4 linked regions of the Saccharomyces cerevisiae S288C genome follow. Each later gene encodes a partner of the first gene's protein in a complex. Each region holds a gene or a part of one and is shown in the gene's direction. Other genes may lie near its edges. The genes, in order: SEA4, MTC5, SEH1 and RTC1.

Evidence for each region.
Region 2: the proteins of SEA4 (region 1) and MTC5 are in contact, whole or in part, in a cryo-EM structure (PDB 8ADL), measured with the Saccharomyces cerevisiae proteins. Residues at the interface, in NP_009446.2 of Saccharomyces cerevisiae: Arg838 (codon at 5,984), Lys842 (codon at 5,996), Phe847 (codon at 6,011), Ser848 (codon at 6,014), Arg850 (codon at 6,020), Ala851 (codon at 6,023), Arg852 (codon at 6,026), Asp854 (codon at 6,032), Val855 (codon at 6,035), Ser858 (codon at 6,044), Arg862 (codon at 6,056), Leu868 (codon at 6,074), Ile872 (codon at 6,086), Lys873 (codon at 6,089), Pro874 (codon at 6,092), Arg875 (codon at 6,095), Gln876 (codon at 6,098), Ile877 (codon at 6,101), Tyr878 (codon at 6,104), Ile879 (codon at 6,107), Gln880 (codon at 6,110), Cys881 (codon at 6,113), Gln882 (codon at 6,116), Asn887 (codon at 6,131), Asn889 (codon at 6,137), Pro891 (codon at 6,143), Pro951 (codon at 6,323), Arg952 (codon at 6,326), Cys953 (codon at 6,329), Ala954 (codon at 6,332); in NP_010413.3 of Saccharomyces cerevisiae: Leu795 (codon at 5,137), Met797 (codon at 5,143), Asp798 (codon at 5,146), Phe1038 (codon at 5,866), Pro1043 (codon at 5,881), Leu1044 (codon at 5,884), Arg1046 (codon at 5,890), Val1047 (codon at 5,893), Lys1048 (codon at 5,896), Lys1051 (codon at 5,905), Thr1054 (codon at 5,914), Pro1074 (codon at 5,974), Tyr1075 (codon at 5,977), Asn1076 (codon at 5,980), Gly1077 (codon at 5,983), Val1078 (codon at 5,986), Leu1079 (codon at 5,989), Thr1080 (codon at 5,992), His1081 (codon at 5,995), Trp1082 (codon at 5,998), Ile1083 (codon at 6,001), Asn1085 (codon at 6,007), Leu1094 (codon at 6,034), Ala1095 (codon at 6,037), Arg1096 (codon at 6,040), Asn1097 (codon at 6,043), Asn1099 (codon at 6,049), Tyr1100 (codon at 6,052), Cys1101 (codon at 6,055), Asp1102 (codon at 6,058).
Region 3: the proteins of SEA4 (region 1) and SEH1 are in contact, whole or in part, in a cryo-EM structure (PDB 8ADL), measured with the Saccharomyces cerevisiae proteins. Residues at the interface, in NP_009446.2 of Saccharomyces cerevisiae: Leu286 (codon at 4,328), Leu287 (codon at 4,331), Thr288 (codon at 4,334), Phe289 (codon at 4,337), Arg313 (codon at 4,409), Trp329 (codon at 4,457), Arg330 (codon at 4,460), Gly332 (codon at 4,466), Tyr333 (codon at 4,469), Tyr334 (codon at 4,472), Asp336 (codon at 4,478), Leu354 (codon at 4,532), Phe355 (codon at 4,535), Val356 (codon at 4,538), Ser357 (codon at 4,541), Ser358 (codon at 4,544), Val359 (codon at 4,547), His360 (codon at 4,550), Asp361 (codon at 4,553), Ser399 (codon at 4,667), Glu400 (codon at 4,670), Val401 (codon at 4,673), Cys402 (codon at 4,676), Ser403 (codon at 4,679), Lys404 (codon at 4,682), Ala405 (codon at 4,685), Ile406 (codon at 4,688), Leu407 (codon at 4,691), Asn408 (codon at 4,694), Asn409 (codon at 4,697); in NP_011415.1 of Saccharomyces cerevisiae: Met1 (codon at 2,370), Gln2 (codon at 2,373), Pro3 (codon at 2,376), Phe4 (codon at 2,379), Asp5 (codon at 2,382), Ser6 (codon at 2,385), Gly7 (codon at 2,388), His8 (codon at 2,391), Asp10 (codon at 2,397), Leu11 (codon at 2,400), Val12 (codon at 2,403), His13 (codon at 2,406), Asp14 (codon at 2,409), Val15 (codon at 2,412), Val16 (codon at 2,415), Tyr17 (codon at 2,418), Phe19 (codon at 2,424), Tyr20 (codon at 2,427), Gly21 (codon at 2,430), Arg22 (codon at 2,433), Val24 (codon at 2,439), Ser29 (codon at 2,454), Gln31 (codon at 2,460), Leu38 (codon at 2,481), Ser43 (codon at 2,496), Asn44 (codon at 2,499), Trp45 (codon at 2,502), Asp55 (codon at 2,532), Ser56 (codon at 2,535), Ser57 (codon at 2,538).
Region 4: the proteins of SEA4 (region 1) and RTC1 are in contact, whole or in part, in a cryo-EM structure (PDB 8ADL), measured with the Saccharomyces cerevisiae proteins. Residues at the interface, in NP_009446.2 of Saccharomyces cerevisiae: Lys842 (codon at 5,996), Glu845 (codon at 6,005), Phe847 (codon at 6,011), Ser848 (codon at 6,014), Arg850 (codon at 6,020), Ala851 (codon at 6,023), Arg852 (codon at 6,026), Asp854 (codon at 6,032), Val855 (codon at 6,035), Ser858 (codon at 6,044), Arg862 (codon at 6,056), Leu868 (codon at 6,074), Ile872 (codon at 6,086), Lys873 (codon at 6,089), Pro874 (codon at 6,092), Arg875 (codon at 6,095), Gln876 (codon at 6,098), Ile877 (codon at 6,101), Tyr878 (codon at 6,104), Ile879 (codon at 6,107), Gln880 (codon at 6,110), Gln882 (codon at 6,116), Gln886 (codon at 6,128), Asn887 (codon at 6,131), Tyr941 (codon at 6,293), Phe950 (codon at 6,320), Pro951 (codon at 6,323), Arg952 (codon at 6,326), Cys953 (codon at 6,329), Ala954 (codon at 6,332); in NP_014503.2 of Saccharomyces cerevisiae: Arg705 (codon at 5,006), His1212 (codon at 6,527), Glu1215 (codon at 6,536), Phe1217 (codon at 6,542), Gly1218 (codon at 6,545), Ala1221 (codon at 6,554), Asp1222 (codon at 6,557), Leu1224 (codon at 6,563), Lys1225 (codon at 6,566), Met1233 (codon at 6,590), Asp1238 (codon at 6,605), Gln1239 (codon at 6,608), Ser1240 (codon at 6,611), Ser1241 (codon at 6,614), Ile1242 (codon at 6,617), Arg1243 (codon at 6,620), Leu1244 (codon at 6,623), Phe1245 (codon at 6,626), Cys1246 (codon at 6,629), Glu1247 (codon at 6,632), Leu1252 (codon at 6,647), Phe1278 (codon at 6,725), Gly1279 (codon at 6,728), Tyr1280 (codon at 6,731), Trp1281 (codon at 6,734), Thr1291 (codon at 6,764), Ser1292 (codon at 6,767), Val1294 (codon at 6,773), Leu1295 (codon at 6,776), Cys1296 (codon at 6,779).

The regions. Positions count from the first base shown.
Region 1 is NC_001134.8:17,677-24,765, reverse strand, and holds SEA4 (Sea4p), read left to right. Parts: upstream 1-3,472; coding exon 3,473-6,589; downstream 6,590-7,089. Other genes in the region: SFT2 (Sft2p), read right to left, coding at 21-668; RTG3 (Rtg3p), read left to right, coding at 1,230-2,690; PKC1 (protein kinase C), read left to right, coding at 7,070-7,089. UniProt on the Saccharomyces cerevisiae protein: Component of the SEA complex which coats the vacuolar membrane and is involved in intracellular trafficking, autophagy, response to nitrogen starvation, and amino acid biogenesis.
Region 2 is NC_001136.10:706,795-714,418, forward strand, and holds MTC5 (Mtc5p), read left to right. Parts: upstream 1-2,754; coding exon 2,755-6,201; downstream 6,202-7,624. Other genes in the region: ARO1 (pentafunctional protein ARO1p), read left to right, coding at 1-2,456; SAC6 (fimbrin), read right to left, coding at 6,546-7,624. UniProt on the Saccharomyces cerevisiae protein: Component of the SEA complex which coats the vacuolar membrane and is involved in intracellular trafficking, autophagy, response to nitrogen starvation, and amino acid biogenesis. May be involved in telomere capping.
Region 3 is NC_001139.9:310,865-315,689, forward strand, and holds SEH1 (Seh1p), read left to right. Parts: upstream 1-2,369; coding exon 2,370-3,419; downstream 3,420-4,825. Other genes in the region: 60S ribosomal protein uL15 RPL28, read left to right, coding at 103-151, 663-1,063; YGK1 (5'-deoxynucleotidase), read left to right, coding at 1,329-1,976; ribosome biogenesis GTPase LSG1, read left to right, coding at 3,767-4,825. UniProt on the Saccharomyces cerevisiae protein: Functions as a component of the nuclear pore complex (NPC).
Region 4 is NC_001147.6:60,188-68,243, reverse strand, and holds RTC1 (Rtc1p), read left to right. Parts: upstream 1-2,893; coding exon 2,894-6,919; downstream 6,920-8,056. Other genes in the region: PFK27 (6-phosphofructo-2-kinase), read left to right, coding at 1-683; BSC6 (Bsc6p), read right to left, coding at 1,130-2,623; CDC33 (translation initiation factor eIF4E), read left to right, coding at 7,220-7,861. UniProt on the Saccharomyces cerevisiae protein: Component of the SEA complex which coats the vacuolar membrane and is involved in intracellular trafficking, autophagy, response to nitrogen starvation, and amino acid biogenesis. May be involved in a process influencing telomere capping.

The DNA.
Region 1 (7,089 bases):
TATGCACTATGAATGATAATTCAGATGCGCAGAACACCTCTTGCCGAATTGACACCAGCAGAGCTTAACATCCTCAAACCTGTTGCACCGAATGGGAAATATGAAATAGCATAATAAATGACGGCAACTAATTCAAGAAGAGCACATGTAATAGTCAGCACCGTGTTCTTGGAAAAGGCTGCGAAATAAATCGTCATGAAGCATGTGGCGAAAAAGAACATCGAAAAAGGCAGCCTTTCCCTTGCAGTCAAATGTTTTAAGTACGCGAGTGGTCCCATAAGTACCCCAAACGCAAGAACAAATAGTAGGGACCCCATTGTCCATAGTAAACCAAACTTTCTTGGTTTAGCGGCTAGAACGGGGAAAAGGAAAGTACAAAGAGTGAAACAGGCTGTTGCACCCAAAAGAAAACAGACAAAAAGTACCATTCTTTCCGTTCTTGACAATTGGAACCACGACGGCTCCTGGTCTTGCACCAAGTCCTGTCTAGATACAGGCAACGTCTGATATATATCCTGGGCCCTGGTATTGAGAGAATCCGCCCAGCTTGAGAACAATGTCTTCGCAGATTCATTAAAACCCTGCGAGTTCTGCTGTCTTGTTTGATTCCATCGATTCAATGAGTCACGGAGACTATTGACCTGGTCAGAAGGTGGTTCCTCGCTCATATTCTCCACACTTGTTCTTTTTTTTTACCAGCAAAAAAAAAAAACGCAACTGCAGACAATACAGGTAATCTAAGTCCTACTCTAAACTACCGAACGCAATTAGAATGCAAATTTATTCAATCTTCTTCCTATTTCAGTATAGTACAAGTCTTGACCAATACTCCCTCTTCATTACAATCGCCTTTTGCCGGGTCACGATTGCGGGCCGTTCCGCGGGATGTGACTCTTCGCAAGTTACTTTTGAAATAATAAAGCCATGGTGATTAGAAAAGCCTTCTTATGAGCAACAGAAACTAACAATTGTACTACTCGGTCCGGACAGTAGGATCTCCAATATTACTGCAGGTTAGTACATTATTTTTTACTCGCAGTTGCTATTTTGGCTAGAGGCTGCACGGAATCATCAAGGAATTTTTCACAATCCGAATTTCTGTCTTACGTGAGCATATATAAGATAACAAAAACGACATTACTGCATTCACATTACTTAGTTGACAAGTATCCTTTAATAGAATACTCTTATTTTTTGTCAGGCGAACCTACTTCTTAAATAAGTGAAGAATGATGAACAATAACGAAAGTGAGGCTGAGAACCAACGTCTACTGGACGAATTAATGAACCAGACAAAAGTCCTCCAGGAAACTTTAGATTTTTCGTTAGTGACACCCACTCCACACCACAATGATGATTACAAGATACACGGAAGTGCCTACCCAGGTGGTGAGACTCCTGCCCAACAGCATGAAAAACTCTCATACATCAATACGCACAACTCTAACGATAATAATAACTTAATGGGCAGTCAAGCGAGGTCCAATTCACAAACTCCTACAGCTTCGACCATATATGAGGAAGCAGAATCGCAATCGTCTTACCTGGATGATATGTTTAGAACAAGCCAAGGCGGTAGACCTGTCACTCAAAATTCCATATCTTCCATAGGGCAGGGTCCCTTGAGATCATCTTATTCTATGGCTTACGACTCACCTGTGGATAGAGCAATGAATACTCCATTACAGCAACAAGAAGGCTTAAAAGCTGAGTTACCACATGACTTTTTATTTCAGCATGGCACCGATGACACAATGTATAACTTAACTGATGATTTGAGCTCCTCTTTATCTTCTAGCATCAATTCTGATATGATGACACCAAACACATATTCATCATCATTTTCTTATAATCCACAAAGCTTGGGCCCAGCATCCGTATCTTCCACATATTCCCCAAAGGTAAGATCACCATCATCGTCATTTCGTGCAGGAAGTTTCCTTTCATCTTCTTTTAGGCATGGTAGCATAAACACACCCAGAACAAGACACACTTCAATAAGTAGCAATATGACTGAAAATATAGGACCTGGAAGTGTTCCAAAGATTTTAGGCGGGTTAACTTCTGATGAGAAACTGAGGCGCAAAAGAGAGTTTCATAATGCCGTCGAAAGGAGAAGAAGAGAATTAATAAAGCAAAAGATAAAAGAACTCGGCCAGTTGGTTCCACCATCTTTATTGAATTACGATGACCTAGGTAAACAAATCAAACCAAATAAGGGTATCATTTTGGATAGAACGGTCGAATATTTACAATACCTGGCCGAAATTTTAGAAATACAAGCACGAAAAAAGAAGGCGTTATTGGCGAAGATAAAAGAATTGGAAGAGAAGAAAAGTTCTGTCGCAGCATTATCTCCTTTTACCAATAACCACCATGCCAGTTCGGGGCAAAATAATAGCGAGAATAGTGAGGAAAGAATTATAGATATTAGATCTGTCCCAAATGCTTTGATGAATGAACAAAATAGTAAGGCTGAATTGCACAATTGGGAGCCACCGTTATATGATTCGGTCGGTAACCACAATCATGCTGGCACTATGGAGAGTCATCCACATACAAACATTCATGAAGAATTAAAGGAGTTCTTATCAGGCGATTTGATTGAAGCCGAAGATAATGCAAAATTAATGTTTGGAGATGACAACTCTAATCCAGCTGACTATCTTTTAGAATTTGGTTCGGGGTAGTTTATGGTCTTATTAGCGGGAAAAAATTAAATTTGAAAAAGGTCAGGTAAGCAAAAGCAGTAAAACTTCAATATCTATGTTTGTTCCTTCTATTGGGAGAACGTTAATCGCTTCCGTACTCGCAAGATAATGTAATGAAAAAATTAGGAATTGCAACAAAATAAAGCGGAATATTAGTAACGCTTACATGCAACGTTTTGAAAAGAGTGGAAGAGATAGGCAAGCAGAATTATATGTAACAAAATCTAAAATTATTCACTATTATTCTTGGTTATGTCTAATACTTTGGATATATTAATTCTTTAGAATTTTATGTATTCTAAATGCAATTATGTCAATAAAACCCATGTAATTTTCTTTCATGATATGATTTAAATGCATTAGTATTATCAGGCATATTGTTATATATGAAGAAGGTTAGTTATAAGTAGTGTATAATATATACATGTGCTGCCCGCAATTGGGTATGATATGATTTTTAGTGCTTTATAATTTGGCGTCGCAAGAATGTAGATCACTTGTATCAATGGAAAGCTTACTTGGGTAACTCATTTATTGAGAAAATCAATGGATGTCGAATTTATATAGAGTAGAGCCAACACTTCATGATTGGAAAGCATATACCAAACGGTATACCACTGATAATATGAATGCAGAAGACTAATGCGCTACACATCATACTTTACGGCGATGATATATTTCAAGATAGCATAAGCTCTATGGTTATTCTGATGTTACTGGTAGTCGTAAGTGCAGTATCACGAACGTATAGAAGAATAAACATGGGTCTCATCAAAAAAGTGACCCATTGGTCATATGATAATTTGATTGATTATCTTTCAGTGAACCCTACAAGAGATGAAGTGACCCACTATAAAGTGGATCCGGAAAATGAATCTGATGAATCAATTATTAAATTACACACTGTGAAAGACTTCGGCAGTATCACCTGCTTAGACTATTCAGAATCAGAAATTGGTATGATTGGAGTTGGTGAAAAGAATGGATATTTAAGGATTTTTAATATCTCTGGACAAAATTCCTCATCGCCAGCGAGCCATGCGCCAGTGGGCTTAAATGCCAATAACGAGACTTCTATGACAAATGCCAGCGGTGGTAAGGCAGCTCAGGCGGAAAATATAGTTGGATCTGTCTCAAATTTAAAGGATACCCAAGGGTACCCTGTTTCAGAAACCAATTATGATATACGTGTACGAGCAAAGAAGCAGCGGTGTATAAACTCTCTGGGAATAAATACGAATGGTCTTATAGCAATGGGTCTTGACAGAAATAAGCATGATTCATCTTTACAAATTTGGGACATGAATTATCATGATGATTCGCATGAAACTATCAACCCAATGTTTAGTTATTGCACAAATGAAAGCATAGTATCCCTAAAGTTCCTCAACGATACCAGTGTATTGGCTGCAAGTACGAAATTTTTGAAAGAAATTGACGTCAGATCCCCCAACCCAATTTATCAACATCCGACACGATTGACGTATGATATCAAACTGAACCCGTTTAACGATTGGCAATTTAGTACTTATGGGGATGATGGGACCTTAGCTATTTGGGATAGGAGAAAATTATCTGACCAAGCTTCACTTGGTGATTTAAATGTAGCTTCCCCTTTATTAACTTTTGAAAAATTGGTTGGATCCGGTGCAGCGTCAAGGAAATACATGAACTCTTGCTTTAGGTGGTCATGTGTGAGGAACAATGAATTTGCCACCTTACATAGAGGTGATACCATCAAAAGATGGAGGTTAGGCTATTACTGCGATAGCAATCGTGATATTGCGGCAGATGACGATAACGAGATGAATATTGAGAATTTGTTTGTTTCTTCCGTGCATGACACAAATACGATGTACGATAGAGTTGCTACATTTGATTATATTCCAAGAAGTAATAATGGAACAAGTCTAATCTGTATGAGACAATCGGGAACAATATACAGAATGCCAATTTCAGAGGTATGCTCCAAGGCTATACTCAATAATAGGAACTCTCTCTTATTGTCAAATTTTGAAAATACTGAGATAGATGAAATTAGAGTCAACAATGAGCATGAAAAGTCCAACTTAGAGAATGTAAAAACAATCCTAAAGAATCTATCGTTTGAGGATTTAGATGTTAGCGAAGATTACTTTCCGTCTGGACATGATGAACCTAATAATGAAATTGAGTACTCCGAGTTGAGTGAAGAGGAAAATGAAGGGAGTAATGATGTCCTTGACAGTAAGCGTGGATTTGAACTGTTCTGGAAGCCAGAAAAACTTCTGGAAAAAGATATAAGTGTAATAATGAGGACGCGAGCTTCATTGGGATATGGTTTGGATCCAATGAACACGGTAGAGATGATTGATTCTTCTAAAAATCTACAAAACAATGCTTATATAAGGAACACATGGAGGTGGATCGCGATTGCAAAGGCTTCTGTTGACGATGGTACGATGGTTTCTGGTGATCTTGACTTAGGTTACGAAGGTGTGATAGGTATTTGGAATGGTATAAACGGAATATCGAACCAAGACAGATATAGACAAGAGACAATTCTTTCTGATAAACAACTAAATAAAGAAATGGAAAAAATCATCAAACTAAGAAGGAAAAATAGGGATCGGAACAGTCCTATTGCCAATGCCGCTGGTTCACCAAAGTACGTTCAGAGAAGACTCTGTTTAATTATCTCAGGATGGGACCTTTCCAGATCTGATTATGAAGACAAGTACAACATAATTATGAAAAACGGCCATTATGAAAAAGCTGCCGCTTGGGCGGTATTTTTTGGTGATATCCCAAAGGCTGTAGAAATATTGGGATCTGCAAAAAAGGAAAGATTGAGACTAATTGCCACCGCTATTGCAGGTTACTTGGCGTATAAGGATCTGCCAGGTAACAATGCATGGAGGCAGCAATGCAGAAAAATGTCCTCCGAATTAGATGATCCTTACTTGAGAGTTATTTTCGCCTTTATCGCAGACAATGATTGGTGGGATATTCTTTATGAACCTGCCATATCTTTGAGAGAACGATTAGGGGTAGCTCTAAGGTTTTTGAATGATACAGACCTAACCACTTTCTTAGATAGAACTTCATCTACAGTTATTGAAAACGGCGAATTAGAAGGTTTAATTCTCACCGGAATAACACCTAATGGTATCGATCTACTGCAATCATACGTTAATAAAACCAGCGATGTTCAGAGTGCCGCACTGATATCAATTTTCGGCTCCCCTAGATATTTCCGCGACCAACGAGTAGATGAATGGATACAAACTTATAGAGATATGCTTAAATCGTGGGAATTATTCTCCATGCGAGCCAGGTTCGATGTTTTAAGATCAAAATTATCGAGAACTAAAACTGGTGTATTAACTGCAGACATAAAGCCCCGGCAAATATATATCCAATGTCAAAACTGTAAACAAAACATCAACACTCCGCGCACATCCTCACCTTCTAGCGCCGTCTCTACTAGTGCTGGAAATTACAAAAATGGTGAAGCCTATAGAAGAAATAACGCTGACTACAAGAAATTTAATACTGGAAGTTCTGAAGCACAAGCAGCTGATGAAAAGCCAAGACATAAGTATTGTTGCCCACACTGTGGGTCTTCATTTCCAAGATGTGCCATATGTCTCATGCCTCTAGGAACGTCAAACTTACCTTTTGTAATAAATGGGACGCAATCACGCGATCCAATGCAGACAGAAGACTCTCAAGATGGTGCAAATCGCGAACTCGTAAGTAGAAAACTGAAGTTGAACGAGTGGTTCAGCTTCTGTTTGAGTTGCAACCATGGTATGCATGCCGGTCACGCTGAAGAATGGTTTGACAGACATAATGTTTGTCCCACTCCAGGTTGCACCTGCCAGTGTAATAAGTAGTATTGTACAATAAACCAAATCTTGCAACTTCTCTTTATTCTCACAATATATATACATAACCAAAGAAAAAACGTAATTAGTATAACATTGTATTTATGAGGCATTGCTATCTTCATTACCCAGCCCGCCTAGTTTTAAAGGCGAAAAAAACCGACGAAAAGAGTTAACAAGCGTGGATAATAAAGTTGATCTACTCTATCGAAAGTAATACGACAGGTTCAGGAGCAGTAAAAGAGCTACGATTTCACTGCTATTCAATTTGGCTGAGTAGAGACTGATTATTAACCATTGTAAAAGTCTCTGCCACCACTCGTCCACACTTACGTTAGAGGTATTCAGCGTCGATCCCCTTTCAGTATAGATTTTTAAAACTATATTAGATAATCAATAGGAATAAAACCTAGAACAGTAGCTGCGGAGAGAAGCTCTAGCGAGGAAAAGTAAGTATAGTATCACACATATAGGGAGCAGTTTACAGTCATGAGTTTTTCACAATTGGA
Region 2 (7,624 bases), on another chromosome or scaffold:
TGGCCATGGCTACAGAGCTCGCCAAATTTGGCGTCAAAACTACAGAATTACCAGATGGTATTCAAGTCCATGGTTTAAACTCGATAAAAGATTTGAAGGTTCCTTCCGACTCTTCTGGACCTGTCGGTGTATGCACATATGATGATCATCGTGTGGCCATGAGTTTCTCGCTTCTTGCAGGAATGGTAAATTCTCAAAATGAACGTGACGAAGTTGCTAATCCTGTAAGAATACTTGAAAGACATTGTACTGGTAAAACCTGGCCTGGCTGGTGGGATGTGTTACATTCCGAACTAGGTGCCAAATTAGATGGTGCAGAACCTTTAGAGTGCACATCCAAAAAGAACTCAAAGAAAAGCGTTGTCATTATTGGCATGAGAGCAGCTGGCAAAACTACTATAAGTAAATGGTGCGCATCCGCTCTGGGTTACAAATTAGTTGACCTAGACGAGCTGTTTGAGCAACAGCATAACAATCAAAGTGTTAAACAATTTGTTGTGGAGAACGGTTGGGAGAAGTTCCGTGAGGAAGAAACAAGAATTTTCAAGGAAGTTATTCAAAATTACGGCGATGATGGATATGTTTTCTCAACAGGTGGCGGTATTGTTGAAAGCGCTGAGTCTAGAAAAGCCTTAAAAGATTTTGCCTCATCAGGTGGATACGTTTTACACTTACATAGGGATATTGAGGAGACAATTGTCTTTTTACAAAGTGATCCTTCAAGACCTGCCTATGTGGAAGAAATTCGTGAAGTTTGGAACAGAAGGGAGGGGTGGTATAAAGAATGCTCAAATTTCTCTTTCTTTGCTCCTCATTGCTCCGCAGAAGCTGAGTTCCAAGCTCTAAGAAGATCGTTTAGTAAGTACATTGCAACCATTACAGGTGTCAGAGAAATAGAAATTCCAAGCGGAAGATCTGCCTTTGTGTGTTTAACCTTTGATGACTTAACTGAACAAACTGAGAATTTGACTCCAATCTGTTATGGTTGTGAGGCTGTAGAGGTCAGAGTAGACCATTTGGCTAATTACTCTGCTGATTTCGTGAGTAAACAGTTATCTATATTGCGTAAAGCCACTGACAGTATTCCTATCATTTTTACTGTGCGAACCATGAAGCAAGGTGGCAACTTTCCTGATGAAGAGTTCAAAACCTTGAGAGAGCTATACGATATTGCCTTGAAGAATGGTGTTGAATTCCTTGACTTAGAACTAACTTTACCTACTGATATCCAATATGAGGTTATTAACAAAAGGGGCAACACCAAGATCATTGGTTCCCATCATGACTTCCAAGGATTATACTCCTGGGACGACGCTGAATGGGAAAACAGATTCAATCAAGCGTTAACTCTTGATGTGGATGTTGTAAAATTTGTGGGTACGGCTGTTAATTTCGAAGATAATTTGAGACTGGAACACTTTAGGGATACACACAAGAATAAGCCTTTAATTGCAGTTAATATGACTTCTAAAGGTAGCATTTCTCGTGTTTTGAATAATGTTTTAACACCTGTGACATCAGATTTATTGCCTAACTCCGCTGCCCCTGGCCAATTGACAGTAGCACAAATTAACAAGATGTATACATCTATGGGAGGTATCGAGCCTAAGGAACTGTTTGTTGTTGGAAAGCCAATTGGCCACTCTAGATCGCCAATTTTACATAACACTGGCTATGAAATTTTAGGTTTACCTCACAAGTTCGATAAATTTGAAACTGAATCCGCACAATTGGTGAAAGAAAAACTTTTGGACGGAAACAAGAACTTTGGCGGTGCTGCAGTCACAATTCCTCTGAAATTAGATATAATGCAGTACATGGATGAATTGACTGATGCTGCTAAAGTTATTGGTGCTGTAAACACAGTTATACCATTGGGTAACAAGAAGTTTAAGGGTGATAATACCGACTGGTTAGGTATCCGTAATGCCTTAATTAACAATGGCGTTCCCGAATATGTTGGTCATACCGCTGGTTTGGTTATCGGTGCAGGTGGCACTTCTAGAGCCGCCCTTTACGCCTTGCACAGTTTAGGTTGCAAAAAGATCTTCATAATCAACAGGACAACTTCGAAATTGAAGCCATTAATAGAGTCACTTCCATCTGAATTCAACATTATTGGAATAGAGTCCACTAAATCTATAGAAGAGATTAAGGAACACGTTGGCGTTGCTGTCAGCTGTGTACCAGCCGACAAACCATTAGATGACGAACTTTTAAGTAAGCTGGAGAGATTCCTTGTGAAAGGTGCCCATGCTGCTTTTGTACCAACCTTATTGGAAGCCGCATACAAACCAAGCGTTACTCCCGTTATGACAATTTCACAAGACAAATATCAATGGCACGTTGTCCCTGGATCACAAATGTTAGTACACCAAGGTGTAGCTCAGTTTGAAAAGTGGACAGGATTCAAGGGCCCTTTCAAGGCCATTTTTGATGCCGTTACGAAAGAGTAGACAATAATATATCTATCCTTTTTTATATTTTACAATGCTTCTATGATATCTTTACTAAGTATGAGTTGCCAAATAGTCAGTGTGACTGCTTACATACGTTGAATTTCTGTATATTTTTACTAAGTTGCAACAGTTAGATAATTACAAGTTACCCTTACATTCTGTGGGATGTAGTCGAAGAACATCTCAGAGTAGGTCATCAAAAGATGCAAATCAGCTGAGCACCCCACTTTCAAAAACATTGTAAGATATTTGAGGGAAATCGCCTCTGGCCCGTTTATTCACTGAAGAATTAATTATGTGCAGTAGTATAAATGAAGGTCCGTATAATTCGCCCACTTTTGGAAAATCATTATCGTTGAAAGTAGATGGTGGGTTCAATGCCGTATCTATCAATCCCTCTGGTAGGGATATTGTTTTGGCCAGTCGGCAAGGTCTTTATATTATCGACCTGGATGATCCGTTTACACCTCCAAGGTGGTTGCATCATATTACGCCCTGGCAAGTTGCTGATGTACAATGGTCGCCACATCCCGCAAAACCATATTGGATAGTCTCGACATCGAATCAAAAGGCAATCATATGGAACTTAGCAAAATCTTCATCAAATGCCATTGAGTTTGTACTTCATGGGCACTCAAGAGCAATTACAGATATAAACTTCAATCCGCAACATCCGGATGTTTTAGCTACCTGTTCAGTCGATACGTATGTACATGCTTGGGATATGAGAAGTCCACATAGACCATTTTATTCGACAAGTTCATGGAGATCTGCTGCTTCTCAAGTGAAGTGGAATTACAAGGATCCTAACGTCTTGGCATCTTCACATGGAAATGATATATTTGTGTGGGATTTGAGAAAAGGCTCCACTCCCCTCTGTTCTTTGAAAGGCCATGTAAGCTCCGTAAATAGCATAGATTTTAACCGGTTCAAATATTCTGAAATTATGTCGAGTTCGAACGATGGGACGGTGAAGTTTTGGGATTATTCAAAAAGTACGACAGAATCAAAGAGAACTGTAACAACAAATTTTCCAATCTGGAGAGGACGTTACCTTCCTTTTGGAGAAGGTTATTGTATTATGCCAATGGTTGGAGGCAATAACGCAGTTTATCTGATTAATCTATGCGACGATGATGACAGTGAACAAAATAAGAAGACGAAACTCCAGCCAATATATGCATTTAAAGGGCATAGTGACCGAGTAATTGACTTTCTTTGGAGATCAAGACATACGTGCGATGGGGATTACGACGATCGTGAATTTCAATTGGTTACTTGGTCCAAAGACTGCGATTTAAAACTATGGCCAATTTCTGATAGTATTTATGGGAAAGTTAACTTTGACAGAGGCAAGAGACTTGAGGAGAAACTACCAGATTATGATTATTGCTCATACAATAAGGAACCTGAAAATAGGGAAAATGTTCAAAAGAATGAGTTTAGGCGTTTACGAGAAAACTTTGTGACAACTTCTGGATTGAAGAAAAACAAGACAAACCACATAACATGGCTCTCAGGAATTAGAATGAATAGCGCAACTTCACAAGAGGATTTATTCAATGAGACAAAAATCCAAAATTTAGGAGAGGAAGTAAGCGCCATTGGTCACAAGTTCCCAAAAGTCGTTTTTGAAAAGATATCCGTGTCCACAAGGGAATTGTGCCTGACGCTTAATGGCCCCTGGTCAGAGGAAAATCCTGATGATTATATATTCTTACGAATAAGTATTAATTTCCCTCTCAACTATCCAAACAAAGGGGACCCCCCCAAATTCACAATTGAAGAGAATTCAAATTTAACCATGAGTAAGAGACAAGAAATACTTTCCAATTTAGCAACAATTGGTCAAAAGTATACTGACTCAAATCTTTACTGCCTGGAGCCATGTATACGATTTGTTTTAGGTGAGAAGGTTAGCCTGGAGGACATCGAAGAAGGGCAAGAACCCTTATTAAATTTTGATATTGCAGATCACATAGATTTTGAAGAATTATCGTCACTGGATAGTTCATATTCCGATTCTCAAAACCCGGAAAACCTTTCTTCGCAATCAGATATAGAGTCATACAAGGAAGCACTGGTATTCCCAGATACTTCGAATCAAGGTTTGGATTTTGGAAGAAATTTAGCTCTTGATACGACACCTGTTCCAAATGGGTGTGGATCTTGTTGGACTGCAACAGGTGAACTCTTCTGCTTCTTTGCAAATGAGAAAAAACCCGAGAAAAAGCAAAATGCAATAATTAAACTCTCTCAAAAAGAAGCAGGGGTAGAGAAGCATCCTTTTAAAATTGAGCCTCAAGTTTTATATGATAAGGAAGTTGACAGCAGTGTAATCACCGCTGCTGATGAATTGAAAGCTCGCCCTAAGCGGTACGTGGACACCTTGGGGCTGGGAGGCGGTACTAATGGGGATTCAAGAACATACTTTGACGACGAGACATCTTCCGACGATTCATTTGATAGTGTCGCGGACGATTGGGACGATATATTGAGAAATGATATAATAGTGAGAACAAAAATTCCAATACTAAGAGGTAATTTTAAAGCTTTCAGCTCAGTACATTCGGAATCCGGGAAAACAGTAGAATCTACCAAAAAAAATAAGAATTTAGTGATTTCCAAAAATTTCAGCAGTTTATTAAGCGACCGCAAAGAACTAGCATTAGAATACTTATTTATGGATGCCACACCGGAAGGATTTGCTAGAAATAACGCTTTGGTGGCAGAAAAGTTTGACCTTGATGAAATTAGTCATTGTTGGCAAATATTATCTGATATGTTGATAGACCAAAGTGATTACGATCCTTATACTACTATATGGAATAACCATCCCATGGGGATAAAGTGGTTCATAAAGGAAGCGATTGTCTACTTTGAGAGGCAACAAAATTTACAGATGCTGGCCATGTTATGCTGTGTCATATTAAGCGCCAGGAGAAAAAAGATTCCAGCCAGATATTATGGGCAAGAATTAGAGAATATGGAAGGAACCATTGTGTTTAATGACAACGAAAGTCAAAACACATCATTTTGGAAAGGATCTGATGCTTTTTCCACCAGGTCTAGGAGTAGCACTGTTACACCAAATTTTTATGGTAATCATTTGAGAGGAAAAAACATTCATGGAGGAGACAACTCCTCAATAAGGTCCGACGACCACCACGCTAGGTTAAGGACGCACAACACTCTTAATGGTAGTAGTAAATTTACGGAGCCGGCCCAAAAGCAGGGCAGCCGTGCCATTTCATCCAGCCCTTTTCATAGTAGAATGCCTGACATCAAAGTCGAGCTTTTACATGACGATATTATAGAAGCTTATGAACAAGAAGACCTCTTACATTTAGAGGTATCAGACATACCAAAGTTCCAAACTTATATTTATCAATATTCAAAGTTACTTTTTAGATGGGGACTGCCTTTAGAAAGGGTCAAAATTCTAAAAGTTAGTACTGATTTCAGAAGTTCTTATAGTTCCCAAGGCATCCCCCCTAACAATAACAAGAAAAGTCCTTACAATGGTGTACTTACGCACTGGATCGAGAACAACGAGTTTGGAGAAGAAAAATTCCTAGCCCGAAATTGTAATTACTGTGATTTAAGAGTGACAAGAAGTAGCTTCATATGTGGAAATTGTCAACATGTTTTACACTCTTCGTGCGCGAGGATATGGTGGGAGATTGGTGATGAGTGCCCATCTGGATGTGGGTGCAATTGTCCGGAAATGTTCGATGCCTAAAAGCTTAACTATCACGTACATTTTCTGCATATTTCAAAGAACCTTGGATGTATATGAAAAAAAGTTCACAGGATATATGGCTTAATAAGTAGTTTATTTACGATTTTTTAATCCAGTAGAGGCATGATAGAAGACGACAACGGAATCATTGAGCGTTGGAGGCATTTTTACAATGGCTCAGTAATCACGAATAAAAGTAGGTGGAAGTTGAAATCTATTATTACATATTAAAAACTTCAGAAATACTTGAGGCTATATATTGTTGTACACTTAACCAATCGTATAACGGAGCATTGGAACAAGAAAGCTGAGTAGAAAACAGGTTACGAAAGTTGTTTGTTGGCTCATTTGTTCAAAGTCATTAACGAAGCGATAAAAGTAATAATTAATCTTGCACGAACTTCGTTGATATCTTCTGGCACCAACCAAATCAAAGCACCCAACTTTCTAGCAATAGAAATAGCCAATCTTGCGTTTGCGTACCTTTCTTCCTCGGTGTTACCAGGGGTGACTAGATCATAATCAACATAGCCCGGCGCGATACCATTCAGAACATCCAATAAGAAGTGGGCGTTTGATAAAGCTTGGTCCTTAAATGATCTAATGGTAGAGTTTTTACCACCTTTAGTTACCTGGTCTTGGGCCCACTTTAATATTTGAGAATCACTCATGTCTCTACCACTTGAGGATAATGTCTTCATGGTTATCGAAATATTTCTACGCATCAATTGCCACACTAACCCTAAGGTCAGTAATTTGTTACCATCTACAATATCAGATCCTTCGATACCAACCAAAGAAAATCCTTTGGCTCTGCCCAAGTCGACTGCATAGTTGGTGTTTTCTAAGGCTTTGAATCTGGATATCTCTGCACCCGAGGCCGGTCTTTTGTTGACATGTTTAAAATCAACAGCACCGGGCATCACCTTTTCGTAAGCTTGCAATAATATCAAACCATCCTTCAAATCATCAAACAGCGAAATGACAGGTGGATCAACGTCAAGAGAGTTCAACCATAAGGTAAAGACTCTTGCCTCTCTCTCACCTTCGGCGTCAAATTCTTCAATTTCAGGCTTTTCCTCTTCCTGAATAGGCTCTAATCCAGGATGTGTATTGAATAGATGTGCCACGAAAGCCAGGTTTAATTTAGGGTTCCCCGCAACTAATGAACTTGGGGTTAAATACTTTCTACAATCTAGCTTTTCAGCATTTTGTAAAACTTGCTCAGCTCTCTCCATTAAATCTGTGGTTTGTAATGGTGCCTTAGAACACAAGGCGGGGTCCAACTGGTTCAACAAGATAGTATAGTTTTCACCATCAGACACGTCTTTTGAAAAATTGGTAACCCTTCTGTTCCAGTTTGCTTGCTTCAAATGGTAGTTAAACCAACGTAGTAGAATTTGCTCCGGAGGCAACCTCAAAA
Region 3 (4,825 bases), on another chromosome or scaffold:
ATCCCGTATATTTAAGATGGCGTTTGCTTTCTCCGTTGATTTTTTTCCTTCTTAGTGATTTTTTTGCATTAAATCCCAGAACAATCATCCAACTAATCAAGAATGCCTTCCAGATTCACTAAGACTAGAAAGCACAGAGGTCACGTCTCAGGTATGTAGTTCCATTTGGAAGAGGGAATGAAAGAACCAAGACGGTGACTTTTTTTTTAGTGTTGTGCAACCAATATGTCGTGTGTATATCATGGTACAGGAGAATGTCAATCAGCTAAGTGTACTCAACATATTTCTTTGTGTTTTGATTGCGAACTTTGTATTACCATCTCACTGTTGAGACGGCTTATTTGAGGTAATAGCTCGAGTAAATGTACTCTTCCATCGCAAACTGAGCAAAAAGAAAGTGTGCATAGCCTTTGTCATACTTCTCCTTTATTATACCATGATATTCAGAACAGTCATACTGTCTACTCATTTTACGGCTATAAAAGGTAACTTTCATTTAGATTATGGAAAGCACTAATTATCGCTGTATCAAATGGTTGTAGAGAGCGCAATTATGAAAAAGAGTTACCACGTTTCTTTTGTTTCGATAAAATGTCCAGTTGAAAACCTGTTTTACTAACGATTTAAAAATTGTATTTCATTACAATATTTTTTTTGTACAGCCGGTAAAGGTCGTATCGGTAAGCACAGAAAGCACCCCGGTGGTAGAGGTATGGCCGGTGGTCAACATCACCACAGAATTAACATGGATAAATACCATCCAGGTTATTTCGGTAAGGTTGGTATGAGATACTTCCACAAGCAACAAGCTCATTTCTGGAAGCCAGTCTTGAACTTGGACAAATTGTGGACATTGATCCCAGAAGACAAGAGAGACCAATACTTGAAATCTGCTTCTAAGGAAACTGCTCCAGTTATTGACACTTTGGCAGCCGGTTACGGTAAGATCTTGGGTAAGGGTAGAATTCCAAATGTTCCAGTTATCGTCAAAGCTAGATTCGTCTCCAAGTTGGCTGAAGAAAAAATCAGAGCTGCTGGTGGTGTTGTTGAATTGATCGCTTAAGCGCATCAACAAAAACTCTATGTATTTTCCAATAAATTATATATCTTCAGTTTAATCTAATTCAACATCTACTTCTGTATTATTTCTATCACCCATTTTCACCGTTTTTTCGTCTTGTCTATTTTGAAGTTACCAGTGGCAGATCCCAACGCTTTTATCGCTTTTTTAAAAGATTTTCAAAATCCATATATAAACATAGGGTCCAAAAAGAAAACAAATAACAAAACAAGAAAACCTATTCGAGGTAAAGACCAGGAAAAACAAAATGACTGCAGTTAACATCTGGAAGCCAGAAGATAATATACCTAGGGAGATTTTGGCAATTCTTTCGAAACCTCACCCAAATTATCAGTTAGCGTTTTTGAATATTATACAACTTTTGAAAACGCAAAGAAGAACTGGTTGGGTTGACCATGGTATTGACCCATGCGAAAGTATATCTGACCATATGTACAGAATGGGTTTAACTACCATGCTGATTACGGACAAGAATGTTGATCGTAACAAATGTATCAGAATCGCACTTGTTCACGATTTTGCGGAGTCATTAGTTGGTGATATTACACCTAATGACCCAATGACAAAGGAAGAGAAACATCGCAGAGAATTTGAAACTGTCAAGTATCTCTGTGAAAGCATAATAAGGCCCTGCAGTGAAAGCGCATCTAGGGAAATTCTTGATGACTGGTTAGCATACGAAAAGCAGACCTGTTTGGAAGGAAGATATGTCAAAGATATTGATAAGTATGAAATGTTGGTTCAATGTTTTGAGTACGAACAAAAGTATAATGGCAAGAAGGATTTGAAACAATTTTTGGGAGCCATCAATGATATAAAAACTGATGAAGTTAAAAAATGGACACAATCTTTACTGGAAGATCGACAAGCCTTTTTCGACAGTTTGAAGGAGTAATAATGTGGCCTTTTGAAAGAAAAGTTAGTGCTTTTTTTTCTTTTCTCAAACCTTCACCTGGTGGTGCGTATCATTTATAATAACATCTTGATGCTTTTCAACGAGATAGTGCCCATTTTATTTTGCATGTATTATACTTCCAGCACCCGGTGTGCATTATATGTAACTTTAGAAATAATCTTTTGTATATTATTCGCGATTGAATGTGCGTGCTGCATTATCAACCAAGTTTTAATATATCTGTTTCTCTTATTTATTGTTAGTTAAGTCTTCGGCAAAACGATGGAAAAAATCATGAACTGAATAGAGACAAGTAAACCAAATTATAAACAAGGTTTCCCTTCTGAAGAGATACTAAGGAAGAAGAAGAACGACCCAATAATATTTCTGAATATGCAACCATTTGATAGTGGGCATGATGATTTAGTTCATGATGTCGTTTATGACTTTTACGGAAGACATGTGGCAACATGCTCTTCTGATCAACATATTAAAGTTTTTAAATTAGACAAGGACACGAGTAATTGGGAACTCAGTGACTCATGGAGAGCTCACGACAGTAGTATCGTGGCCATTGATTGGGCCAGTCCAGAATATGGGCGCATCATTGCTTCAGCCTCTTACGATAAGACGGTAAAATTATGGGAAGAAGATCCCGACCAAGAAGAATGCTCTGGCCGTCGTTGGAACAAGCTGTGTACCCTGAATGATTCCAAAGGATCACTTTATAGTGTAAAATTTGCGCCAGCGCATTTGGGCTTAAAATTAGCTTGTTTGGGTAACGATGGAATCCTCAGACTTTATGATGCCTTAGAACCTTCTGACCTAAGGTCATGGACACTGACTTCTGAGATGAAAGTGCTATCTATACCACCAGCAAATCATTTACAGTCTGATTTTTGTCTCTCTTGGTGTCCTTCGAGATTTTCTCCTGAAAAGCTCGCAGTCTCTGCATTGGAACAAGCGATTATATACCAAAGGGGTAAAGACGGTAAACTTCACGTTGCAGCAAAACTTCCCGGTCATAAAAGTTTAATAAGAAGTATCAGCTGGGCTCCTTCCATTGGTAGATGGTATCAACTCATTGCAACAGGTTGCAAAGATGGTAGAATTAGAATTTTCAAAATCACAGAAAAACTAAGTCCCCTGGCCTCAGAGGAGTCTTTAACTAACTCAAATATGTTTGATAATAGTGCTGATGTTGACATGGATGCACAGGGCAGATCAGACTCAAATACCGAAGAGAAAGCTGAGCTACAATCAAACTTGCAAGTTGAACTTCTAAGCGAGCATGATGACCATAATGGCGAAGTTTGGTCCGTGTCTTGGAATTTAACGGGTACAATCTTAAGCAGTGCTGGGGATGATGGGAAGGTACGTTTATGGAAAGCCACTTATTCAAATGAATTTAAGTGTATGTCAGTAATTACTGCCCAACAATAAATAAGAATATATGTATACATAACATTATATATTGGTACTTTATACGTGTGCATTATTCTGTATAATACGAGGCAACAGATGAATCAAGAAAGATGATGCTTTTAAAAAGCTCTTACAAATATAATGATATTACATCAAATGATATTATTATTCTTGATATTGGGTATTCTTTCGAATTATATCAAGCTTCCCTTCCCTCGCCTTTTCGCCTGGAAATTTTTCAATGCCGAGATTAAAAAATTTGTCAATGAAAATGCATTCTACTACTTAATAAAGAGGTGATGAGCTTATAAGCCAACTTCTTTTAAACACAAAACTAAATCTGATATTGAGGACCCCCACCAACTATGCCACCAAAAGAAGCTCCCAAGAAATGGAAGGCGCCAAAAGGGCCAAAACCTACCCACCGTAAAAATAAAAATAAGCTTGAATTAGGCAGAGCTATTAAATATGCACGTCAAAAAGAAAATGCCATCGAGTATTTACCTGATGGTGAAATGAGGTTCACTACCGATAAGCATGAGGCCAACTGGGTTAAATTAAGATCTGTAACTCAAGAATCAGCTTTAGATGAATTCTTGAGTACAGCTGCACTGGCAGACAAAGATTTCACGGCCGATAGACATTCAAATGTTAAAATTATTAGAATGGATAGCGGTAATGATTCTGCGACATCTCAAGGGTTTTCTATGACTAATGAGCAGCGTGGAAATCTTAATGCGAAGCAAAGAGCGCTTGCTAAGGATTTGATTGTTCCAAGGAGGCCTGAATGGAACGAGGGCATGTCCAAGTTTCAGCTTGATAGGCAAGAAAAGGAAGCGTTTTTAGAATGGAGAAGAAAATTGGCACATTTACAAGAAAGCAATGAAGACTTGTTGTTAACACCGTTTGAAAGAAATATCGAAGTTTGGAAACAGTTATGGAGAGTTGTTGAAAGATCAGATTTAGTTGTTCAAATTGTAGATGCGAGGAATCCGTTGCTGTTTAGATCTGTCGATTTAGAAAGATATGTAAAAGAGTCAGATGACAGAAAAGCAAACTTACTGCTAGTTAATAAAGCAGATTTATTGACCAAAAAGCAACGTATCGCTTGGGCAAAGTACTTTATCTCCAAGAATATTTCGTTCACGTTTTACTCTGCATTGAGAGCTAATCAATTATTGGAGAAACAAAAGGAAATGGGGGAAGATTATAGAGAACAAGATTTCGAGGAAGCTGATAAAGAAGGGTTCGATGCTGATGAAAAAGTTATGGAAAAAGTTAAAATTCTGTCCATTGACCAACTGGAAGAATTGTTTTTATCAAAAGCTCCAAACGAGCCTTTATTGCCACCTCTGCCCGGTCAACCTCCACTGATTAATATTGGTTTGGTTGGTTATCCAAATGTAGGTAAATCCTCCACTATT
Region 4 (8,056 bases), on another chromosome or scaffold:
AGGAAACGTATGCCAGGATCACTTTGCAAAAGTTGTTTCACGAAATCAACAACGATGAATGTGACGTGGGAATCTTCGACGCCACAAATTCGACCATCGAAAGAAGAAGATTTATATTTGAGGAGGTTTGTTCGTTCAATACAGATGAGCTTTCTAGTTTCAATTTGGTGCCCATAATCTTACAGGTGTCATGTTTTAACAGAAGCTTTATCAAATACAATATCCACAATAAATCGTTTAATGAAGACTACTTAGACAAACCTTATGAACTTGCCATCAAAGATTTTGCAAAGAGATTAAAACATTACTATTCGCAGTTTACACCTTTCTCCCTTGATGAGTTCAATCAAATCCATCGATATATCAGCCAACATGAAGAAATCGATACGAGCTTATTTTTCTTCAATGTTATTAATGCGGGCGTCGTTGAGCCACATTCTTTAAATCAAAGTCATTACCCTTCAACCTGCGGCAAGCAAATTAGGGACACCATTATGGTTATTGAAAATTTCATCAATCACTATTCTCAGATGTTTGGTTTTGAATACATCGAAGCTGTTAAATTGTTTTTTGAAAGTTTTGGAAATAGCTCAGAGGAAACTTTAACTACACTAGACTCTGTTGTTAATGATAAATTTTTTGATGATTTGCAGAGCCTAATTGAAAGCAACGGATTTGCTTGACTGATACTTTACCATACGGGAGTTGAATATCGGTACTCCTTTATTATATTTATGATCCTCTCCAGAACTCCATCTACCTCCCGCCTTTTAATGACCATTTTTACGACCTTTTCGCATGTTTTTCTATTCTTTTACAGTTTCCTTGGTACCGCTAGTTACATTATGTTATCTTGAAAAGGCTACTATACACTTTTTTTGCACTACTGAAGCAGCTTTCAAAAGCTCTTTATAGACTTCAGATAGTATTACTTTTTCCTTAAAATTCTATCTATTTGTAAACGACCAAGAGTGTCATTATGTATACTATATATCAAAAAGTTCCATATGTTGTCTGAAGTTCCTTTTATCTTCCGCCTTTCTATCTTTCTGTTACAATTATTCAACAGCTTTATTTTTCTAATTTTGGAATTAGTTGCAATGCACTGGCACCGATGGCGTTTCTGAAACTAAAAATATTCTTCATGCCCTTTTATGAATTTAGGATACAATGTCCATTCCAATGTAAATAACGCAACCATAATCCAACACAATAGTGGGATATACTGGATTCCCACTGTGTGTGCAATAACTCCAGCCAAATATGGAATGGCTGCACCACCACAACCACCAACGGCGACGGCAACCCCAACCCCGCTCACATGTAGTCTTTTGGGCAATACTTGTAATGCAACTATACTTGCGTTTGGGAATAATGGTCCGATAAACGTACCACAACAAAAAACAACAAAAAATAACACGACGAAATAGAAAACTGAGCTTGAATTGATCAACCCAACAAGCACAAATAAGGTGTATGAAGATAGAGTTAAAAAAGCGTACGCTTTGCTTGCTTTATACTCGTTTTCGAAGAATCTTTCAGTAACAAATCCTAGACACAACCTGCCTACAGTCAAACCTGTCCAAAACGATGCCGCTATGTATGACATAGCAACCTTATTACTTGATTTAGTTTCCAATAAATAACTAAAGAACCATGAACCAGTTGTAATTTCAGCACCTAAGTAAAGGAACAAATACAATGAGTACAAGAAAATAGCAGGATTTCTTAAAAGTTCAAAAAATCCTGGGCTCGCCTTGGTAGATTCCATCAGCGAGTTATCACCCGCTTCTTCCACATCATTGTTGCTTTCTTTGTTTTCCACAGAGCAGAGGTAGTCGTATTTACTTGCAGTTTCAAATTTAAAAGCTGGGAAGATTACAATCATGCCTATTATAGAAAAGAACAGAGGAATAAGGAAAAAAAGAGACCAATGACCCCATTCAACAAAATATGAAACTAAGGGAGGAGTAACCATAGCTGCTGCCCCGTAAAGACCATGCATGATACCCATGAGTTCATTCTTATGGACTAAAAGACTGCCCATTAAAACATTACCGGTAGAATCTAAGATGCCGATCCCTAAACCAAGAGGAAGGCCACAAAACATACAAACATAGAAACTAGAAGGTGCAGTTGCTAAAATGATAAGAAATACTATACACAAACCAGCTGCTAGAAGCATACCACCTCTCATACCAAAGTGCTTATTCAATCTCTCTTTTGATAAAGACGCCATCACATAACCACATAATTGGACTATAAATACGTTTGAGACATCTACCCGCGATATATGATAGTATTCAATTAGCGTAGGAAGTAGTGCACCTACTGTTTGATCGTTCATACCAAAGACTACGAACATAATCAAGCATGCTATCACCTGCAGCTTTACTAGTGGTACAGTTTGATAGTTTAGTGGATATGTTTTAACTTTCTCGCCCTGCCAGTCAATTTCTTTGATTAAGTTTGTATTGTTAGGTAGACTATCTTCATCTTGAGAATTTCTTCTGGAGTCTGATGATGATAGCAGATTTTTCAACTCTATTGGGTTATGATGTGAAATTTCAGTTGTATACATTCCATAATCATCTACCTTTGGTGGAACCGAGGAAGCATCCATGCTGAAAACTTATATATGGATTAAATTATACTATGAATCCCTAGGATCTTATTCTTGGTTTCTTACTATAGCATTTTAGAATACTGTTGAATGTCTAGCTATGCATGATCGGAGAGTTTAAATTTTTCTGTCTCGGAACGTTCTTTTTAATTTGTCAAAAACATCGATATATAACGATGATTACTGAAAAAGGAAAACCGATTGATAATACATATGGTGCGATTGCTGGCTGAAGGCGAGTGAGCTATTGAGTGGATTTAGTTGAAAATCATGAGCTTATCACCACACGTAGAAAATGCTTCCATTCCCAAGGGGAGTACCCCGATACCAAAAAACAGAAACGTTAGTTCTATAGGCAAGGGCGAGTTTCTTGGATCTTCGTCAAGCAACAATTCTTCTTTTCGAATGAATCATTACTCAAATAGTGGACAACCTTCCGTGTTAGATTCTATACGGCGACCTAATCTAACTCCAACTTTTTCTTACAGTAATGGGGTTTATATGCCTGAAAGTCACAGAACTAGTTCATTCAACGATAGTTATTTGCCATATGATAAGAATCCTTACGCAAAAACAACCGGAAGCATGAGCAATAAATCGAACATGAAAATCAAAACAAAGAAAAATGCAATCAACACAAATACAAGAAAGTCGTCTGGACTCATTTACACCACCAAAGTGGATAAAGAATTATCTAGTATAGACAAAGTGAATGATCCAAACATTAACGGTCTTGTTTGTGCAGGTAAAACTCATTTGGGGCTCTATAAATTCTCGCCCTCAGATAGATCTATCAAATGCGTTCATGATTTCATAACACCTAATAGCAACACCTCAACAAGGGGAACGACATCCCTTTTGCCCAAGCTGAGCAAAAGAACAAGACAGAACAAATTTAGTACCATTGCGGATGTTAAGACTGGATTTAATAATTACAAGAACTGTATTGCAGTGTGCAACAATTCTACGGCGATATCGATATATGATCTCAATAAGAGTTCCTCGATAGACAATCCCTTGATAACATCCTTATGCGAACACACTAGATCTATCAATAGTTTTGACTTCAACATGGTCGAATCAAACCTAATAATAAGTGGTGGACAAGATAGTTGTGTAAAAATATGGGATTTACGTTCCAATAAATCTAAAAGCTCAAATAGATCTGACATTAGTATAAATACCGCATCTGACTCAATCAGAGATGTAAAATGGATGCCCGGTTACAATTTTGCATCTAAGAACGATCAAGGTTCATCAACGTATGGTAATTTAAAAAGCGGTTACAAATTTGCTTCTATTCACGATTCGGGATACTTGCTAAAGTTTGATCTTCGACAACCTGCCCAATACGAAAAAAAATTAAATGCTCACACAGGACCCGGTCTTTGTTTAAATTGGCATCCCAATCAAGAATACATTGCTACAGGTGGTAGAGACGGTAAATGCTGCCTCTGGTTTGTTGGCGACAATGCCAATGCCGCCGAAAATACAGTCCTCAATTACGGGAACTCTCCCTCGTTACATGCCCCCAATACGTCCTTGAACAATAGCGGCTCGCTGGCATTTCCCAAACTAACAATTAATACGGGCTATCCAGTCACTAAATTGAAGTTCAAGCCTGCTTATAGTAGTAATATATATAATTCATTACTAGGAATATCGTCAATGGGTGACGAAGCTGAAGTTCGCATCTATTCCTTGGCAAGAAAGTACATTCCAAAACATGTTCTCCTATCAGAAACGCCTTCTTTAGGATTAGTATGGTGGGACGAAAACTTGATCTTTAATATCGATAAGGGGACCCGTATAAATGGCTGGGACATTAACAAAGAACCAACAGTGCTCGAAAATTTGAGCAAAAATACAACAACTTGGAGAGATTTGGATGGTAACGGTTTACTTTCAGTTGACCAAGAGATAGGCTCATATGAGGTGGTAGAACCGGAGCTTCAACCTACCTCAAGTACCACATGCAAGAAGCATCCAGGTACAATAAAAAACCCGAAGAATGGCAATCCAGAGAACCAGGGAATAATTGGAGGGATAAAAAAAGGATTTAGCCATACTGGATTAACAAGTTTTACGCCAGAGAGGCCGCCTACTTTAAAAGCAGGCCCAACGTTTAGCACAAAAAGCTTAACATTAGCATCTGGAGCATCTTCTTTTAACAGCTCTTCCGCATCATTGACATCCCTGACGCCACAAACTGAAAATAGAGAAGAAATCGCCATTGAACCGCCTTGTATCATCACTTTGGATATACCGCAGATCTTCAATAACATAAGATTAACCAAAATCGCACATTCAAGAAAAAAGAACGTCATTTCCGAAAGTTCTTCTATGAAAAATTCTCCAGTAGAAAAGTTCAAATATTTGGCGAGACAGCTCAAGTTTTCGTATATTCGAGAGCATAATGTTTCAGACAGTGCAGACACTGCATATAAAAATGATATAGAGAACATTGACGTCGTTAAAAACGCAACCGAAACACATGGTGATAATACTACTACTACCAATAATAATGATGATGGTGATGATGATGATGATGATGATGATGATGACAAAATAATCGAAAGTCACCTTTTGAAAAAATACAATTTTCCAGAAAATAATACATGGGCTACCTTAATGAATGAAAAAGTAAATAACAAAAAATCCAAAAGAAATTCCAGTAGTTCGAGGGAGTTTGACGAGAAGGATGTCAGATCAAGTATATCTTCCATTTCTGCAAGTAGGCAAAGTCATGACAGAGCTAGGAAGATCGACAAGAACGTGGAAGCAGAACTGCAAGAAAAAATACAAACACTGGTAGATTTGATATCTATTGCAACGCATAACGCATCTGTTTATCTATCCATAGATGATCTAACCAACTTCAAAATCTGGATCTTGATAAGAGATTCATTGTTATGGGACTTGAAGTGGATGACCTCCTCCCAAATTTCATCAGATAACGCATCTAATATGGATGCCAATGAAAGCTCCGATTTCGAAGCTGGAGAAAATCTGAAAACAGGAAAAGAGTTCCCAGAGGAGGATGGTGCAGGGACAAGTGGGGCTGAGTCGTTAGTTGAAGAAAGGCCGCAGGCATTTCGTGCTAACTCTGATGAACCAAGTGATGCCGAAAAGAAACCTGTTTCTAAGCTCAAAGAGCAGCTCAAAAACACGGAAATAATCCCCTATGCGCAGCCAAATGAGGATTCAGATGAAGTTTTAACTAAGCTAAAAGAGCTACAGAACCAACGCTTGGAGTCAAGGACTAAAATGGGAGAAACAGTGAGTGACGATGTGATTATAGAGGAAGACGAACATGAACATCAAGAAGAAGAACAGCCTCATGACTCACCGACTAAGTCAGCACAATTTCACGCGTCTCCTATCGCGAAAAGTATACCAATATTGCAGAAACGTGAGCACCGCAAGTCATTCATAGATACTTTCATGTTGCATTCTCCCAACGGTTACAATGGAGATACGGACATAGGTAACGAAGATGACAATATATCTCCTAGGTTTACTTACAACAGCGTAAGCCCACGCAGTAAGGTTTCGTCGCTACAAAGCTATGCCACAACAACCTCGCAACTAGAAACTTTTAAAAAGCTTTCTTCCCATACAGCACCAATAATCGGATCGCCCAGACATGCGCCATCACGGCCAGATAGCATTGGTAGGGAACAACTGTCTTCTTCATTGACGAAAAAGCTTGCCAAATGCAAGAAAATTATCGCTGACCCACCCTGGGACACGAAAAAACTCATCAAACAACTCTACAATCAAGCTACTGAGACTGGGAACGTCGTATTGACGGTGAATATTTTATTTCTTTTCCAAACGATATACCAAATAACAGAAATCGACATTGCAAAGGACGCAATCGCTCACTTCTTGTTATTATTACATCGATACGAACTCTTCGGCATTGCTGCAGACGTCTTAAAATACTGCCCATTCGAAGATATCATGGGTTCTGAGGGTGACCAATCTTCCATTCGGTTGTTTTGCGAACGCTGTGGTGAGTTAATCACTAACGAAAGTTCTAAAGAAAAGCTCAGAGCGGAAGCTCAGCAGACGGGCAATAAGAAGATCATGGACAAGTTTGGATACTGGTATTGTGACTCTTGTAAGAAGAAGAATACATCTTGTGTTCTATGTGAAAGACCATTAAAGAAACTGACCATGGTCATCCTCCCCTGTGGACACGAAGGTCACTTCCAGTGCATACAAGAATGGTTTCTCGATGAGAATGAACAAGAATGTCCCGGCGGTTGCCCCGGTGTTGCATTCATCTAGGTTCTCCACATAATGTATAGTTTAACATATCATCACCATTGTTTAGTTAAATCGTTTAGAGTAATATTACCCGTCAAAAAGGTCGGGTAAAATTTTATTACCCTCTCCGAAAAGAAAATTTTTTTCGTCGTCAATAGAGTTTAATGCAATACCTGATAAAGAGAGTTTTACATTGCAAGAGGTAGTGTTAATTCTGGATTTATATTGTACATATGTGTTTGTGTTAGTGCTTGAGTACTTCCTAGGAGTTTTACGAAAAATAAAAGCATTTTTGTCTGAAAACTAGTGAAAGGAAGAAAAATGTCCGTTGAAGAAGTTAGCAAGAAGTTTGAAGAAAACGTTTCAGTCGATGATACCACAGCTACTCCAAAGACTGTTTTAAGTGACAGTGCTCACTTCGATGTCAAGCACCCATTGAACACCAAATGGACTTTATGGTACACAAAGCCAGCCGTCGATAAATCTGAGTCGTGGTCTGATCTATTACGTCCCGTCACTTCATTCCAAACTGTTGAAGAATTTTGGGCTATCATTCAAAATATTCCTGAGCCACACGAACTACCATTGAAATCAGATTACCACGTCTTCCGTAATGACGTTAGACCTGAATGGGAAGATGAAGCCAATGCTAAAGGTGGTAAATGGTCTTTCCAACTTAGAGGAAAAGGTGCTGATATTGATGAATTATGGCTAAGAACTTTACTAGCAGTTATTGGTGAAACAATTGATGAAGACGACTCCCAAATTAACGGTGTCGTTTTAAGCATTAGAAAAGGTGGTAACAAGTTTGCCTTATGGACTAAATCTGAAGACAAAGAACCACTATTGAGAATTGGTGGTAAATTCAAGCAAGTTTTAAAATTAACCGATGACGGGCATTTGGAATTCTTTCCACATTCCAGTGCCAATGGTAGACACCCTCAACCATCAATCACCTTGTAAGATAGTCTGAATTTTTCTTAAGATAATTGTTATTTTAATCAAAATTATATATATAATCATAATATAATATATATACATTCTACTAGTTAGGATGCACGTATAAACTCATCATGTTAACACAGAAGGAAAAGTCAAAATGAAGGAGAAAAAAAAAAAAAAAAAAAAAAAAGAGAGGATGACGTTAAAAGGACAACT